Linked DNA regions of Canis lupus familiaris. The protein of the gene in region 2 interacts with the protein of the main gene of each other region in a pairwise test. Links are inferred from orthologs where the notes say so. Each region holds a gene or a part of one and is shown on either strand. Other genes may lie near its edges. The genes, in order: BTRC, ZC3H12A, AHSP and P4HA3.

Region 1 (3,818 bases), on a different chromosome or scaffold from region 2:
CACAAAGATGAATGAGAGATATGAATAGAATTTGGAAGATTTATCAATCCTTTCCCTTCCTTCAAAAAGTACTAAGAAGATAAAAAGGCTCCTTTAGAAAACAACAGAGCTACTGTTAGGTCTAAGGAAATTTTCATTTCATTTGGATTGGTCCAAAAGCATATAGTTTTAAGATTTTATTTTTTTAAAGTAATTTCTATACCCAACATGGGGCTCAAACTCAAGCCTGAGATTAATCAAGAGTTGTACGTTCTTCTGACTGAACCAGCCAGGTGCCCCCAGTTTTTTTAATTAGCATGTAAGCATTTTTGAGAACTTGCTTTTGTTTCCATTATAGAGAAAAATTGTCCTGAACAATGGGTGAAAAGAGAAAGTGTCATTAGTAACAGAGGTGGACATACTTTGTGAGGGCAGGATATCACTGACACTATGTATCTCATTCTTTTTTTAAGATTTTATTTATTTATTCATAGAGACATAGAGAGAATGAGAGACAGAGACACAGGCAGAGGGAGAAGCAGGCTCCTCACGGGGAGCCCGATGTGGGACTCGACCCCAGGTCTCCAGGGTCACGCCCTGGGCTGAAGGAGGCATTAAACCGCTGAGCCACCCGGGCTACCCCATGTATCTCATTCTTACTGGTGATTTCAGGAAGCATTACTTTTCTTTTCTTGGTCATTTCCTTCACAGGCAACTGGGTACATTGAATTCATCCTTTTTATGCCTTGGAGACCCTGGTTACAGACTTATATAAAGCATTGTGCTTTGAAAATATATATTTCATTTTAACTTAAATCATACATTTTTCTGTCTGAGTTATACAGCAGAAAGGAAATAAATTACATTGAAAGCAATACATTTGGTATGAGTATTGATTGATTTTATTTTTGTGGAATTTTTTGAAGACATATGAAGTGTATTATAACATGCCAAGCTTAGAAAAGAATACATGAAAATTCACTTGACTCAATTTTCTCTTCCAGATTATGGGACATAGAATGTGGTGCATGTTTACGAGTGTTAGAAGGCCACGAGGAACTGGTGCGTTGTATTCGATTTGATAACAAGAGGATAGTCAGTGGGGCCTATGATGGGTGAGTTTGCTAACAGGGTTTAAAAAACAAAATGTACATCTTGATTCCTCCTACCGGAGGATGTTAAATACAGTATTTCCCTGACTCTAAAAGATTATAGATTTTACAGAAAGGATCTGATACAATATTTCTTGTGTCTCATCTATGTATTCCCCTCTCCTTTGTTTACTTTTCTAAGATATTTTTCCCAGTCATTTAATTGCACTTGTTTCCTGGTGATTTTCATTAACAGTTTAGTTATTTAGTTATGCATTCATCTGTTTTGATTCACCTATAAAGCAAAGAACTAGGAAAACACAGTATGCCAGGATATGTGTGTAAAATAATGACTTATTAATAAAACTGAAATATTGGAGGCAGTATCTTTGGGGCATAATGTGGTAGGCTCTTGAATTTGATGTCTTTGAGTAATTCCTAAAAGCGCAGCTCTCTTGTCTTCACTTCTCTTAACATTTTAGTGACAAGTTCAGTAATCTTTATTTTCTTCGGTCTAATTTCCAATGGTTTTAAAATCCATTCATGTTGTGAATGGATCCCATGTCCGGCAATGCTAAGCACATAGTAAACTCACATAAAAGTGTATTTACTTATGAAGGCCTCTTTATTATTTCTTCTTGTCAGGATGCCTGACATGAGGGAGTGGAAGGCTATAGTTCACATCTTGGCAGCTTTTTAAATATTAGAAACTACCTTACTACATTACCTTAGTTTAGGAGCTGGCAGTGATTAAGACAACTCATACAGTAGGAACAGACCATTTTCTCTGCTTTGAGTCATCCATCACTGTTCTACCCTGTGGGAGATTGTTCAGGGTGTGAGAACATACTCCAGTTACATGGTATTTTCTGATTGCCCTGGTTTTTATCTGTACCCACCTTTCTTGGGTTTTGTCTGTTATTTACCTTGAGGAGACATGACCATATGTTTGGTTCTTGGAAGAGCTAAACTTTTCTTATTTTAATCAAAATATGGGAATTTGTATAAACTCCAGAGTATTTCAATGGGCTCTAGTCCTCTGGTTCAGGTTACCTGGGCCATTCTTAGAATTGACCAGAAAGAAGATACTTCACAATTGTAGGTTTCTAGGTCTAAGTGATCTCTTCTATCAGTCTTTAAGAGTCTAATATATAAGATCTCTTCCTGGCCCCAAAGTATGGTATAACTTTACCATTCACTTAAGCTTGGTTAGAGCTAACCTATTTCTCATTTTTAGGTTAAACCTGTACATTTTTCCCCTGTTAAGACCAATAACCTCTACCCAAGAATGAATGCAAAAACCAAGTCTCCAAAACAAAAAAAAGTTCTTATATATTCTTGTGAGCTGCATTTATCATATAAATTACATTCATCAAAAAAAAAATTACATTCATCATACCTATTTATTGCCATGACTTTTTGCTATTTTTCCCATGGTCCCTTAATTTTGCTTTTAATTAAGATTTTTGTCCCCTTTTGGATCTTTAGAAAAATTAAAGTGTGGGATCTTGTAGCTGCTTTGGACCCCCGTGCTCCTGCAGGGACTCTCTGTCTACGGACCCTTGTGGTAAGAACCTTGCTGTTTAGAGGGGGTTGGGGAACAGGAAGGGAAAGAAATGAAACATTGATGTGGTATGGAATACAGATCTGGATTTGATAGTTAGAAGCTCACGAAACCTACTACTAAGTGGAAAGGCAACTAATACATGACAATAAAATATGTTTTTTTAGCGCCTTTCATCCAAAAGTGCTTTAGAGACTATGTATAGAAAGGAATGTGGCAGCTGTTTAACAGCTGCACAGCAACTCTACACCACAGTTTAGTACAGGAAGTGAATAAGGATTCTGTATCCACCAGAAACAGTAGGGGGTACTTAGGGAGAGAGAACATAATTACTCAAATTGGAACCTGTCCAGAAGCTGAGGACCTACACACCTGTGCCTGCAAAAAGTGTCATGGGAGTCTGTGTGAACCCCCGGTCAGCCCCCTGGCTCTGCAGCCTATTCAAGGCATGCTGCCTCCAGCAACATGAATCCCATCTCTTTTATTCCTTGCCATAAACATCTTGACATTTGAGGAAAGAAGTGACTCAAAAGGAAGAAAGTCACCTTTGAAAGTGCTAAATTCTTTATCATGGTGTTCACCAAAGGCCCGGATGAGAAAATGGCCTAAGGTTAAAAGCTGCTGCCATTGGAAAAAGAAAATTAGGTGGGGCACCAGGGAGCACAACTCAGGGTAAAGATGAGAGCTAGCATTTGAAGCCCAGTGTTCTGAATCCTAACTCTCAACATTTGGCAGCCTCTGCTCTGGAGAAGAGAGAGAGAGATGTTTCTTTGTCTTCCTGATTGGATTTAAAGCTCATTGTTGCAGCATCAGACCTACTTTACCTGCATGTTTCAGACATGTTTTTTAAAATGTATACTTTCATTCATTTAAAATTAATCTAAGTCTAAATGAGGTGTAATTTACATACAGCAAAATTTACCCTTTTTCAGTGTGTTTTTCTGAATTTTGCAGTGTGTAAACACCTTGATCGAGATCTAGAACATTTCTAACACCCCAAAAATTATACCGCTTCATAGCACTACCCTCTCCCACACCCCTAGCCACTATTCTGATTTTTGCCATTTTATGAATGTCCTATAAAGTCATACAGTATGTAGCTTTTTGCATTTGGCTTTATTCACTTCATTTGAGAGTCATTCATGTTGTTGCATGTGTTCGTGCTTAGTTCTTTTGTATTGCTG
Region 2 (4,353 bases):
ATATATCGTGTACTGTAGTCCCACTGCATCTGAGCACATGATGAAAAAAGTTACTTCGTTCCACTACTGTTTATTTATTTATTTTTTTCCACTGCTGTTTAAAGCATACCTCAATCCTTTTGTAGCTCTACTGTGATGTCTTCTTAAAATATACTAGGAGATGAGGTGCCGGACTGGCTCCGTCAGAGAAGCATGTGACTCTTGATCCTTGGGTTGTGAGTTCCAGTCCCATGTAGAGATTACGTACATTTTTTTAAATTAAAAAATAACTTTAAAAAAATATATGAGAAAAAAAAATAAAAAAATATATGAGGAACATCAAAAAAACAGGGGAGGGACCTGATTTTTTTCTCTGCTTCTGTAAGTCCTGGATGAATTTAACCTCTGTGCCAAGGCCTTGAGGGCAGCCTGCCCACCCTTCCTAAACAGGTAACACCCTCCCCCCATGAGCTGCCCAATGGAACCATCAAAAGCCAAGGTAATTCCTAGCACCTTTCTCTCTCCGGGTCCCCCATCCCTCGCCCAGGGGGTGGGCCAGTCTGGGACCCCTGAAGACCTCACCCAGGCCGGCCAGATGCAGGCAGGTGGCAAGAAAGCAGGCAGGTTCCGGGAAGGAAGCTGGCAAGCCCAGCCTCCAAGATGCAGGCGTGGGCTGGGCATCATCACATCCAGAATGCTCCCGGGAATCAGGGCCAAGGTTTGCAAAATCCAGCTGTAAGTGGAGCAGGGGTTCCCCGGATTCTGGATTCTGCAGAAGAGTCAGCTTCTCAGGAAAGAGCCGCCTTCCTGAGCCGGAAGAGAGTGAGACTCTGGCTCGCGCGGCTAGCTTTGGGAGGGGACGGAGCTTCGTGACTCATCACCCGGTCGTGCCGGCTACAATTGGCGCAGCGCCGGACCTCCCGGAGGAGGTCCCCTGCGGGCAATCACAATCCAGAACGTAGGGACACGGGCCGGGCGCGGTGGGAGCAGAGGAGCACTGGAAGAGTCTCGGCGGGCCTCCCGGAGGAGGTGACATCATCAAAAAAGATGAATGGAACCGGGCAGGCAGCCGTCGGGGGCGGGGAGGAGAGGAGGGCACTCCCAGCCAAGGACGAGGCACATGCAGAGCGCTGGCCCGAGGCCTGCGGCCCAGCGAGCAGTCCCCAAATGTGAGGCATTCTTGCTGGGGTTGACGTATCATCATTACGGTGATCAACCTGGCCTTGTTTCTCAATATTTTTACTATCTTAAAAGTAGTTATGAGGCCGAGTAAACACCTAATGTCACTGAGCTTAATGTTAAAAGGGTTCCCGTGAAGATGGGGGCACAGCAGACAGGGTGCTCAACAGGAGCTGAGACCATTGTGACTCCCCCCCCCCCCCCCCCCCGGAAAGGGGGCTTTGTTTGCCCTCTGTGCCTGGCTTGGGGTCAGCCCCCGGGGTTGCTATGCCTGGAGGGCGCAGGAGGGAACCGTTTGGGGTCTTTAGAGTTAAGGTAGGTAACAAAGCAGGGACTTGGGTACATGGGGTCAGGCAAGTCCGGAGGAGCAGCTTCAGGGCCTGGCTAGAGATGCACGCACGTTCCCTCCTCCCTGGGTCTTCCGTGACCTCCTGAGACAGGCAGGTACTGGAGGTGGGTACCTCAGAGCTCTGCGAATCCCAGCCCCACTAGCTCCGGGCCCCTGGGCCAGTGACTTCACTCTGTTTCTGCGACTCTAGTTAAGATTACGTACGAGGATATCCAAAGCACACTCCTGGTAATAGCCACATAGGTAAGTAAATAACAAATCCCAGAAATAACATCCAGTAACAGAATGGCTGAATGACCAGTGGTATATTCCTAAAATAGAATGTTATTCAATCACCAAATGAGTAAGTTATAGGTATACAGGCAATAGAAAGGCATTTTCTTTCTTTTTTTTTTTTTAAAGATCTGATTTATTTATTCACGAGAGACACACAGAGAGAGGCAGAGACACAGGCAGAGGGAGAAGCAGGCTCCCGGCGGGGAGCCTGATGTGGGACTTGATCCCGGGACCCCGGGATCATGCCCTGAGCCAAAGGCAGGTGCTAAAACGCTGAGCCACCCAGGGATCCCCCAGAAATGTATTTTAAAAAGCAATGTGGTGTTGCCTGGCTGGCTCTGTCGGTGAAACCTGTGACTCTTGATCTTGGGGATGTGGGTTGGAGCTCCACATCGGGTGTAGAGACTAGCTGAAAATAAAAGCTTAAATTAAAAAGAACAACAATGCTGTGTGGAAAAGGGGAGTCATATAACTATAGAACGATGCCCTTTGCACCCCAAAAAGCAAAACCCAACTAAACAACTTGTTATCTTGGGATTTCTACCAAGGTTGGTAAAACTAAGAGACACATTGAGGAAATGATTAGCATAATTAAAACAAAATTCAGGAAAGTCGTCCTTCGGGATGAGGGAGGAGGCTGCAGTGGAGGCAAGTGGAAGGTCTTAAAGGTACTGGTATAGGTCTTGTTTATATAAATGTATGTATTTATTTATTTATTAGATTTTATTTATTTATTCATGAGACACACAGAGAGAGAGGCAGAGACACAGGCAGAGGGAGAACCAGGCTCCATGCAGGGGGCCCATGCGGGACCCGATCCCAGGACCCCGGGATCACCCCTGAGCTGAAGACAGACGCTCAACTACTGAGCCCCACAGAGGTCCTGGGTCTCATTTTGTAATGAGCTAGTGGACATGCGAATATCTTACTGTTGTTACTATCATCCGTTCCGCTGTCCCCGTGCAGCGTATATGGTGTCTTCACATCGAAGCTTCCGGCTGTCCCACTAATTCCCTATGGGGCCCAGGCGTGGGGGAGGCAGCTCTGTTCCCAGGGACCCGGCTCCCTGAACCTGTTTCCCCATCTCCAAAGGGAGCTGGTGTAGGTAGGGCGGCTCAGGCTGTGTCCTCCAGCTTGTGGGTTGTGTTCCCTTTTTTTTTTTTTTAAAGATTTTATTTATTTATTCATAAGAGACAGAGAGACAGAGAGAGAGAGAGGCAGAGACACAGGCAGAGGGAGAAGCAGGCTCCACGCAGGGAGCCTGATGTGGGACTTGATCCTGGGACTCCAGGGCTACACCGTGGGCCTAAGGCAGATGCTTAGCCACTGAGCCATCCAGGGATCTCTGTGTTCCCTTTTTAAACACACACACTTCGGATCCCTGAGTGGCTCAGTGGTTTAGCGCCTGCCTTTGGCCCAGGGTATGATCCTGGAGTCCTGGGATCGAGTCCCACGTCAGGCTCCCGGCGGAGAGCCTGCTTCTCCCTCCTCCTGTGTCTGTGCCTCTCTCTCTCTCTATGTCTATCAATAAATAAATAAATAAATAAATAAATCTTAAAAAGAAAAAATAAACACACACTTGAGAGCAGGGGTCAGGCCCCATCGTGTCACACACAAGTCTCCCCTCTGCCCAGAGTCACTCACTGGTGGTTTCGAAAGTGGCAAAGGTGGCAGCTGGTCCCTGGATGAGGAGCTCCTGGCCCTAGTCCCAATCCTTTCCAGATGGGGCAATTAAGCGCTTTCTGAACTTCTGGGGGGTCCAATGGGCACAGCAGTCTGTCTGTCTTCCTCACCTAAGCCCAAGAGGTGGGTAGTGGGAAGCGCTGTGCTCCGCTCAGAGCCCAGGACTGCCTGACCCGGCCCCGAAAGCGTCCTCCCCGTGGGGGTGTGTGTGTGTGCATGCGTGTGCAAAGCACAGTGTGCACACTCACGGTGACCGCTGTAAGCACCTCTCTGCTGCTTTTTCACCCCCATCGAGGGTACTTCCTGGCTGTGCTGGTCCATCCCGGCCAGTGTCCTCACCGCCCCCCCCGTGTCCCCGCTGCGGTCCCGGTGCACCTGTTGCGTGTTCCCGGCTCGGTCGGGGGCGGGGGGGCGGGGGGGGAGCCCGGGTCTGCCGCTGCGGACCGACCTCCAGCGGCGGGTGGGGCGACCTCCGTGCACCCGGGTCACTCGAGGCGCCCGTGGCCGAGCGGGGGCCGCCGGGGCGTAGGGGTCGCGCGGCGCCGAGCGCACCCCGGGGAGTCCGCGCGCGCCCGGCTGGGCCCCGGGGGGTGCGCTCCCGCCCCGCGCACGTAGCGGCCGCCGCGGCCCTGCCCCGCCCCCGACCTCGGGCCCCGCCGGCGAGCGCGCTCGGGCTGCGGGGGCGGGGCCGGGCGGGGGGGGCGGGGCCGGGCAACCCGGGGCGGGGCCTCGTAGCGTCGGGGGCGGGGCCTGGCATCCCGGGGCGGGGCCCGGGGCGTGACCGGGGCGGAGCAGGAAGGGGCGGTGGCCGCTCCGCCCCCTGCTCCCGGGCCGCGGGCCGCCTCCCCGCCGGCTTCCGCGTCACGGTGCCGACCGCCACCTGCCCG
Region 3 (3,182 bases), on a different chromosome or scaffold from region 2:
GCTCTCTCACTATCTATCTCAAATAATAAATATAATCTTTTATGAAATATTAGTTTCAGGTGTACAAAATAGTGATTCAACAATTCTGTATATTAAAAAAAACAATTCTGTATATTGCTCAGTGCTCATCAGGATAAATATACTCTTAATCTCCTTCATCTATTTCACCCATCCCCCAGGCCACCTCCCTGCTTCATGTCTTCCTTATGCCCCTGTTTCTTCCTCTTTATTGTATGTCTAACTTCTTTTGCTCAACATAATTATTCTGAGATTCATCCATGTTCTCATGAATACCATTAGTCTGTTCCTTTTTATTGCTGAATTAATCATATGAATTTAATTATAATTTAATTATATGAATATGCCACAATCTGTGTATCTATTCAGTGGTTATTGGACATTTAAGTTGTTCCCATTTTGGGGAATTATGAATAAAGCTGCTGTGAACATTTGCATGTAAGTGGTTTTATATATATATAAAATGTTGTATTTATTTATTCATGGGAGACACACAGAGAGAGGCAGAGACCTAGGCAAAGGGGGAAGCAGGCTCCATGCAGGGAGCCCAATGCAGGACTCAATCCTGGAACTCTGGTATCATGCCCTGAGCCAAAGGCAGACACTCAGCCGCTGAGCCACCCAGGCATCCCTGCATGTAAGTGTTTTTGTAGATGTGTATGTTCATTTCTTATGAACTATACCTAGGAGTGGAATTGCTGGGTCATGTGGTAATTGTATGTATGGAAGCAGACCAAGTATCCATCAATAGATGAATAGATAAAGAAGATGTGGTATACATACACAATGGAGTATCATTCAGCCATAAAAAAAGAATGAAATCTTGCCATTTGCAATGACATGGATGGAGCTAGAGAATTAAGTGGAACTAAGTGAAATAAGTCCGTCTGAGAAAGATAGACACTATATAATTGCACTCATATGAGGAATTTAGGAAACAAAACAAATGAGCAAGTGAAAGAGAGACAGAGACAGAGAGGGAGAGAGAGCCTCCAAGAAATAGATTCTTAACTATTGAGAACAAATGGATGGTCACCAGAGGGGAAGTGAGTAGGGGGATGGGTGAAATAGAGGATGGGAATTAAGGAGGGCACTCATCGTGATAAGCACTGGGTAATGTATGGAATTATCGAGTCCCTATATTGTACATGTGAACGTACTATAACACTGTATGTTAACTATATTGGAATTTAAATGAAATGAAATGGAAAAAAAGTATCTGTCATCCAACAGGGAGTCAGTTGATACTAATTCTTTTTGTCTGAATTTTAGTTTTGGAGTGTGGATACTGGGATGTGGGGCAGATGGCAAGGATCTGTCCTGGGTTTGGTTTTCTAGGTCTCCCTACTTATCTGTTTTTAATGGCCTTGCTATCTTTTAACTTCAGAGAAACCTCTCCCTTGTTCCCAACCCCTGGTTGACCTATCACCTTCCTTCAGGACCTAGATGTAGGGCGTTTCCCTCTTATGCTGACACTTGACTCTGCCTACATTTAGCTCAGAGAGGGACATAACACACCCTGGAAACTGTGGGTGAGACATACACCGTTGGACCTGCAGGTGAGCCAACCTGGGAGAAATGTGATCTCAGCAGAATATGATTTGAAAGATGCTGGAGAGGTGGTCCTACAAGGCACCAGAGATCTTTAAGGGAAATAAGGGAATTGGGGGAAATATGCAGGAATGAAGAAAAGGATACTTAAATTTGATCTCTTTCTCTAACGTAGGCAGATGGCTTTGCTTCAGGCCAATAAGGATCTCATTTCTACAGGAATTAAGGAATTTAATGTTCTGCTGAATCAGCAGGTGAGCCCAGGCACTGTTTCAAAGGATAGGCCTAGACTCTTGGCAGGTGGGTGAGGGCAGAGAAGGGACAATAATTTGGAACTGGGGCGTAATGGTGCAGTTAATGGCAACAATTAGAGACAGGGAATACAAGTCAGAGAAAGGAGAATGTCAGAGGTTGTGGGTTATTCTTGAATCACACAGCTGACCACATTCTCCCTCGTGATCCCCTCTCCCTGCAGGTCTTCCCTAATCCTCCTATCCCTGAAGAAGCCATGGTGACTATGGTGAATGACTGGGTGAACTTCTACATCAACTATTACAGGCAGAAGATGGTGGGGGAGCAGCAAGAGCAGGAGAAGGCTCTCCAGGAACTTCAGCAAGAGCTAAATACTCTGTCTGCCCCTTTCCTGGAGAAATATAGAGCTTTCCTGAAGCACTTATGAGCAACTAAATCACCCACTGCCTTTCTCTTAGCTCAAAACCCCAGGCCTGCATCTCTAAGAAACTCTTAAATCCTGCCTCCGAGTTCTTGGAGTGCTCAGGCTCTGCTCCTTCATGGTGTTACTCTACCTTGACACCTCAATAAAGACCAAATTGGTTTGCTGGTCTTCCTGTCTCTTCTGTTCTTTTTCAGTTGTTGGTCCCTGACTTGTGGAGGCAGTTGGTTCCTTTTCCTTTAGCTCTATTTCCTAGATATGATCTTGGATATTTAATTCCTTTAGAGCAGAGGTTAGCAGCCTTAAGTAACCACTGGGCAATACTAAAATAGCCTGAATGACAGGCCAGGCAGGCGGAGAGAAAGTGTTGGGGTGTTAGAATCATAAAAATAAAAAAAATAAAAGGAAAAGAAAAAAGAAGCTCTCTAGAAATTGTGGCCCTGTGAAATTCTTGTTGAAAGACTTCCAGTCTTGTTCATCCTACAGTAGGTGAAATCAAGAGGCCACTCATCTCAATTTTCGAATTCCTTGCCCTTAGCCCCAGCTTGAACAAAGTTCTAGGATCTCAGAACTCTAATACCACAGAATACCTCCCTGGAGTATCGCTGTGAGAGTTGGAAAGGATCTTGGGAACCATTCAATACATCCCTTATTTTTCAGATAGGAAAACCTTTGGCTCTGAATCCCTCAGCCTCAGATCCTAGGCTTGGGAAGCATAGATTCCTGTTCTCCTCTGGGCCCTAAACTTCTCCTGCCATTCCCAGTACTAGATCTCTTTTCTCTTCAACCTCTAAACATTGCAAACGTCTTCATTTTAGGGTGCAATCACGGTGCAGTCAGTCTGATGAGTGTTTAAAAAATGAAATGAAGGTGTTAGAAAAAGGAATGTCCGGCAAGCTTTGCAACATCTGCGGAAAGCCTCACGGGTGCACAGCACCAG
Region 4 (4,280 bases), on a different chromosome or scaffold from region 2:
TTTTTCTTTTCCTGGAGAGCCAGTTTACCAGCACACCTCTGAATGTAATCAATGGATAATTAACATTGAGTGTTTTATTTATCCTTTCTATGCCCCAATCTTCTTATTTGTAAAATGGGACTGATAATACTACCTATGCTATAGAGTTAATACGAGAATAAAATGAGCTAACACATGTAAAATGCTTGGACAATGCCTAGCACACAGGAAGTGTTCAGTAAGTATTAACTATTATTTTTACAGTTGCTGTTATTACTGTTATTGCTACCTTAAACTTCCATTGGATTTTCATAGAGAATAGGCTAAGTTTCTGAGTATGTCATGCAATGACAATAAATCTGACAGTTCCAACCACAGTTCCATCATTTCTGGAACTCAAAACTATTTTTTCATCTCCAAACCTGGGTACACATAGGTACCTTCTGCCAGGAAAGCCCATCCCTCCCTTGCCTATCATCTTCCAGACAATTTCTTTTGATTCTTCTTATCCTGATAGCACTTTATTGTGGTTCCTGGTTTACATCTGTTTTCCCTTGTGAGTCCAGGTTGGGTGTGCTATTTCTCCGTGTCTTCAGCACAGTGACAGAGGTGGTAAATACTTGTTGAATGAAGGAATGGAAGTTGCCTGGGAAGGTGGGGAAAAGGATAAGTAGCCTAATAGGATAATAGTAACTTTTTTGCTTAAAGTGGCCATAGGTACATGGTATAGGGCAATGATCCAGGACCCCAGTTTTAGGTTTGGCAGGTCCTCGATTTGTCAGGCAGTGACCCTAATCGCCTTCACCCTCTTTACCTGAGGTCCGACTCTGCCCGTCTTTCATGATGGTTCAGATGTCAAGTCTTCTGGGAGGTGTTTCCTTCCCTCTGCTCCTCCACAGCTCTGCACCCACATCGTCATCACCAATCACATCATTCACTCTCCTGGATTTCCCGATCAGAATCCAGTAGTGTTGTTGCATTTCCACCCGATCCAGAGGGGTGACTATCTGGGGGATGGCGTCGCGTTGTTCACAGACCAGTGAATTCATCCTCCCACCCCCACCCCCCACCCCAGTCCTCGCCTGTTTCCCCCGAGTGTGACCCGGCACCGCGGCAAACACCTGCCAGGGCTGCGACGTGGTGGCAGGCGGGCGGGCGGACATTGCGGACGGGGGGGCGAGGGGGCAGGAGAGCGGGTGCGGGAGAGCGGGCCGAGGCGTCGGAGCCCGGGAACGGGGGGGGGGGGGGGGGGGGGGCGGGCCATGGGCCGGGCGGGGTGGGGGGAGGGGGGTGGGAGGGGCGGGGCGGGCCGTGGAGGGGCGGGCCGTGGAGGGGCGGGGCGGGCCGTGGAGGGGCGGGGCGAGGGCGGGGCGGGGCGGGGCGGGCCGTGGAGGGGCGGGGCGGGGCGGAGGGGCGGGGCGGGGCGGAGGGGCGGGGCGGGGCGGGCCGGGCGGGAGCGGCGCGCGCCGGGAGCCGAGCGGACCGTCCGAGGAGGCCGCGCGCGGGAGCCGGCGATGGGCCCCGCGGCGGGGCTGGCGGCGCTGCTGGCGGTGCTGGCGCTCCGGGCGGGGGACCCGGCAGGGGCCGCGGCGCGGGGGGACACCTTCTCGGCGCTGACCAGCGTGGCGCGCGCCCTGGGGCCCGAGCGCCGGCTGCTGACGCTGCTGCGGCGCTACCTGCGCGGGGAAGAGGCGCGGCTGCGGGACCTGACCAGGTGAGGACGCGCGCGGGAGCCGCCGAGGCGCCTGCGGCGGGGAGACCGAGTCAGAGGGCGAGACCGAGGCGCGTGCTCTCGGGGCGAGTGGCTCAGTCTCAGTCACCCAGCGTGGGACCCCGGACCCGGTTGGAGCCTGGGTAAGAGCCTCTCCGGACCGGGAGGCTGAGACTCCGTGGCCCGGTGTGACCGTCAGCCCCCGGGTCACCCTGCGGGGGACCCCGAGACGCTGTGTCGCACAGCGTGGAGCCTTCCACTCCGTCGTGCACCCACAGTCGCATCCCAGGTCCATCCTCACACGGCCTACCTGATGCGCTGTGGAAGTGTGGCGGGAGTGACTCAGGACCAGGAGGACCTCGCAAGGCGCGGTGGCAAGCTGTGTGGGCCTCCGGCTCTGTGTCACAGGGACACAGCAGACTGCAAAAGTAGAGGGAGAAAATACTGTGTGCCTGTAGCCCTGTGTGTGACCGAGAACCGGTGGTTAGCATGAGGTGACGTTCTGTGACCATGGGTGAGATTTACATGCCTTTGGGTCTGGATGGGCACGAAGCTATGGACATCTTTGCATCACCCTGGATGCTGATGGTACTGCTCACTTTATGAATAAGGCTTCGTGTTCATTAACTCTTTCAACACGCCTGTTTGAGTGCCTGTTATGAGCCAACCGCTCTTCCAGGCAGTGGGGATAAAATGGTGAGCAAGACCCAATCCTTCCCTCAGGGAGCTTGGAGTCTGTAGCATCATGATTATTAATCAGAGATGTCCATTGTCTCCTTTGCTTGCAACTCTCCCTTCTCTTCCCACACATAAGAGCTCTCTCAATTCTAAATACAAGAAAACTGCGATTTAATATATGTATATTGGGCAGCCCGGGTGGCTCAGCGGTTTAGCGCCGCCTTCAGCCCAGGGCCCGATCCTGGAGACCCCCGGATCGAGTCCCACATCAGGCTCCCTGCATGGAGCCTGCTTCCCCCTCTGCCTGTGTCTCTACCTCTCTCTCTCTCTCTCTCTTTGTGTCTCTCATAAATAAATAAATAAAAATCTTTAAAAAAATAATATATGTATATTGACGCCAAGAAAAAACTAGGGGAAAACCATACTTGATACTGGGGGATTCTAAGTGTGGCACACACAAGCAGATGCTCAGCTAATTCTCTTTGCTATACAATCAGCAAACTCTAGTGCTACACACCGTGGCATAAAATACTATAGACTTGGCACATTGGGGCACTGCAATCCTGTATTGACTGTCAGTGCCAAACTATGAAAAATGAATGATTGTATTATGTGATGCATTGTGTTGTGTGTTCTCTGCTCCAGACATGAAGAAGCCTACAAACAGTGGTGTAACCACATTGCTATCTGAATACATTAATATAACTCTTACATCATCTGACCCTTTGCTGAGCTGACAAAACAGAGAGCTGTCTCACAATGTACTGCTGATAAAACTGGGCGAGCGTATGTGATAGTAATACTAATTCTGGGGCGAATGCGAAGAATGGGAAGAAGGCGTGTGGGACACCATGACTGTGTGAGAGAGCCCCTGTTGGAGAGAATCAAACACACACAGTGTGAAAGACCTTGTTTGTTAATCAGTGGTGACTGAATGATGATGTAATTTGGTATATCCTCTTAAGTATGTAGCTTGCATAGAAACAGTTATATTCATTTTAAATTTACTATTAGGGGACGCCTGGGTGGCTCAGTGGTTGAGCATCTGCCTTTGGCTCAGGTCGTGATGCCAGGGTCCTGCAATGGAGTCCCACATCAGGCTCCTTGCAGGGAGCCTGCTTTCTCCCTCTGCCGTGTCTCTGCCTCTTTGTGTCTGTCATGAATAAATAAAATCTTAAAAAATAATAATAAATAAATAAACAAATAAATAAATTTACTATTAGTTTGAAATAGTGTGAATATACACACATGCACATACACAAAATATATGTGTATTATAACAGTAAAATATATGTGTATTATAACAGTAAAAGATAATAATTTCAATAATTTCAATCAAAAGATAAAAATTTCAATAATTCTTGTCACTCTTTAGAGTTGCATAGTTGTCCAGTGTTTTATGGGCCTACTCTATAAAGCAAAATGTTTTATTTTTTAAATTTTTTAAAAATATTCTGTTTATTTATTTAAGAGGGAGAAAGAGAACATGCGTAAGAGCACAAGAGCACGGGGAGGGAGAAGCAGACTCTGCTGAGCAGGAAGCCTGAGGTGGGGCTGGATCCCAGGACCAAAGGATCATCACCTGAGCCAAAGGCAGGCACTTAACCAACTGAGCCACCCAGGCGTCAAGCAAAATGTTCTAATTCTGTTCTTAGTCCATGCATTGGAGTCTAGGTTTATTGGTGGGAATAAAAAACTCTTCTCTTTAATTTGAGATTCCAGCATGTTCCCTGCTACCCATGTGCTCATTCTCATACCACTAATCTCTTTATTTGGGTGGCTCAGATAGAGATGAGGGTTCAAGATCATGATGCTGGGCCTCTCACGGAACAGGTTCAGAACAGAAAGTTTGCAGTGTGGATCAAAGTGACTGGTGGAGGGAGTGAGGGGCTCCAATGCTGGTCTCCTTTAC

Evidence for each region.
Region 1: the proteins of ZC3H12A (region 2) and BTRC interact in binary tests that used the Homo sapiens proteins (3 or more experiments, as listed by UniProt). The link is inferred for Canis lupus familiaris from reciprocal best matches to the Homo sapiens genes ZC3H12A and BTRC.
Region 3: the proteins of ZC3H12A (region 2) and AHSP interact in binary tests that used the Homo sapiens proteins (3 or more experiments, as listed by UniProt). The two-hybrid records come from large-scale screens. The link is inferred for Canis lupus familiaris from reciprocal best matches to the Homo sapiens genes ZC3H12A and AHSP.
Region 4: the proteins of ZC3H12A (region 2) and P4HA3 interact in binary tests that used the Homo sapiens proteins (3 or more experiments, as listed by UniProt). The two-hybrid records come from large-scale screens. The link is inferred for Canis lupus familiaris from reciprocal best matches to the Homo sapiens genes ZC3H12A and P4HA3.

What each region holds. Positions count from the first base shown.
Region 1 is NC_049249.1:14,342,656-14,346,473, forward strand, and holds part of BTRC (F-box/WD repeat-containing protein 1A), read left to right. Parts: intron 1-983; coding exon 984-1,094; intron 1,095-2,558; coding exon 2,559-2,637; intron 2,638-3,818. UniProt on the Homo sapiens protein: Substrate recognition component of a SCF (SKP1-CUL1-F-box protein) E3 ubiquitin-protein ligase complex which mediates the ubiquitination and subsequent proteasomal degradation of target proteins. Recognizes and binds to phosphorylated target proteins.
Region 2 is NC_049236.1:5,056,223-5,060,575, reverse strand, and holds the start of ZC3H12A (endoribonuclease ZC3H12A), read left to right. Parts: upstream 1-1,387; 5' UTR 1,388-1,473; intron 1,474-1,489; exon of another isoform or gene 1,490-1,611; intron 1,612-1,613; exon of another isoform or gene 1,614-1,750; intron 1,751-4,293; exon of another isoform or gene 4,294-4,353. UniProt on the Homo sapiens protein: Endoribonuclease involved in various biological functions such as cellular inflammatory response and immune homeostasis, glial differentiation of neuroprogenitor cells, cell death of cardiomyocytes, adipogenesis and angiogenesis.
Region 3 is NC_049227.1:16,903,863-16,907,044, reverse strand, and holds AHSP (alpha-hemoglobin-stabilizing protein), read left to right. Parts: upstream 1-1,494; 5' UTR 1,495-1,577; intron 1,578-1,744; 5' UTR 1,745-1,748; coding exon 1,749-1,823; intron 1,824-2,044; coding exon 2,045-2,248; 3' UTR 2,249-2,413; downstream 2,414-3,182. UniProt on the Homo sapiens protein: Acts as a chaperone to prevent the harmful aggregation of alpha-hemoglobin during normal erythroid cell development. Specifically protects free alpha-hemoglobin from precipitation.
Region 4 is NC_049242.1:24,105,101-24,109,380, forward strand, and holds the start of P4HA3 (prolyl 4-hydroxylase subunit alpha-3), read left to right. Parts: upstream 1-1,478; 5' UTR 1,479-1,493; coding exon 1,494-1,693; intron 1,694-1,699; exon of another isoform or gene 1,700-1,833; intron 1,834-4,280. UniProt on the Homo sapiens protein: Catalyzes the post-translational formation of 4-hydroxyproline in -Xaa-Pro-Gly- sequences in collagens and other proteins.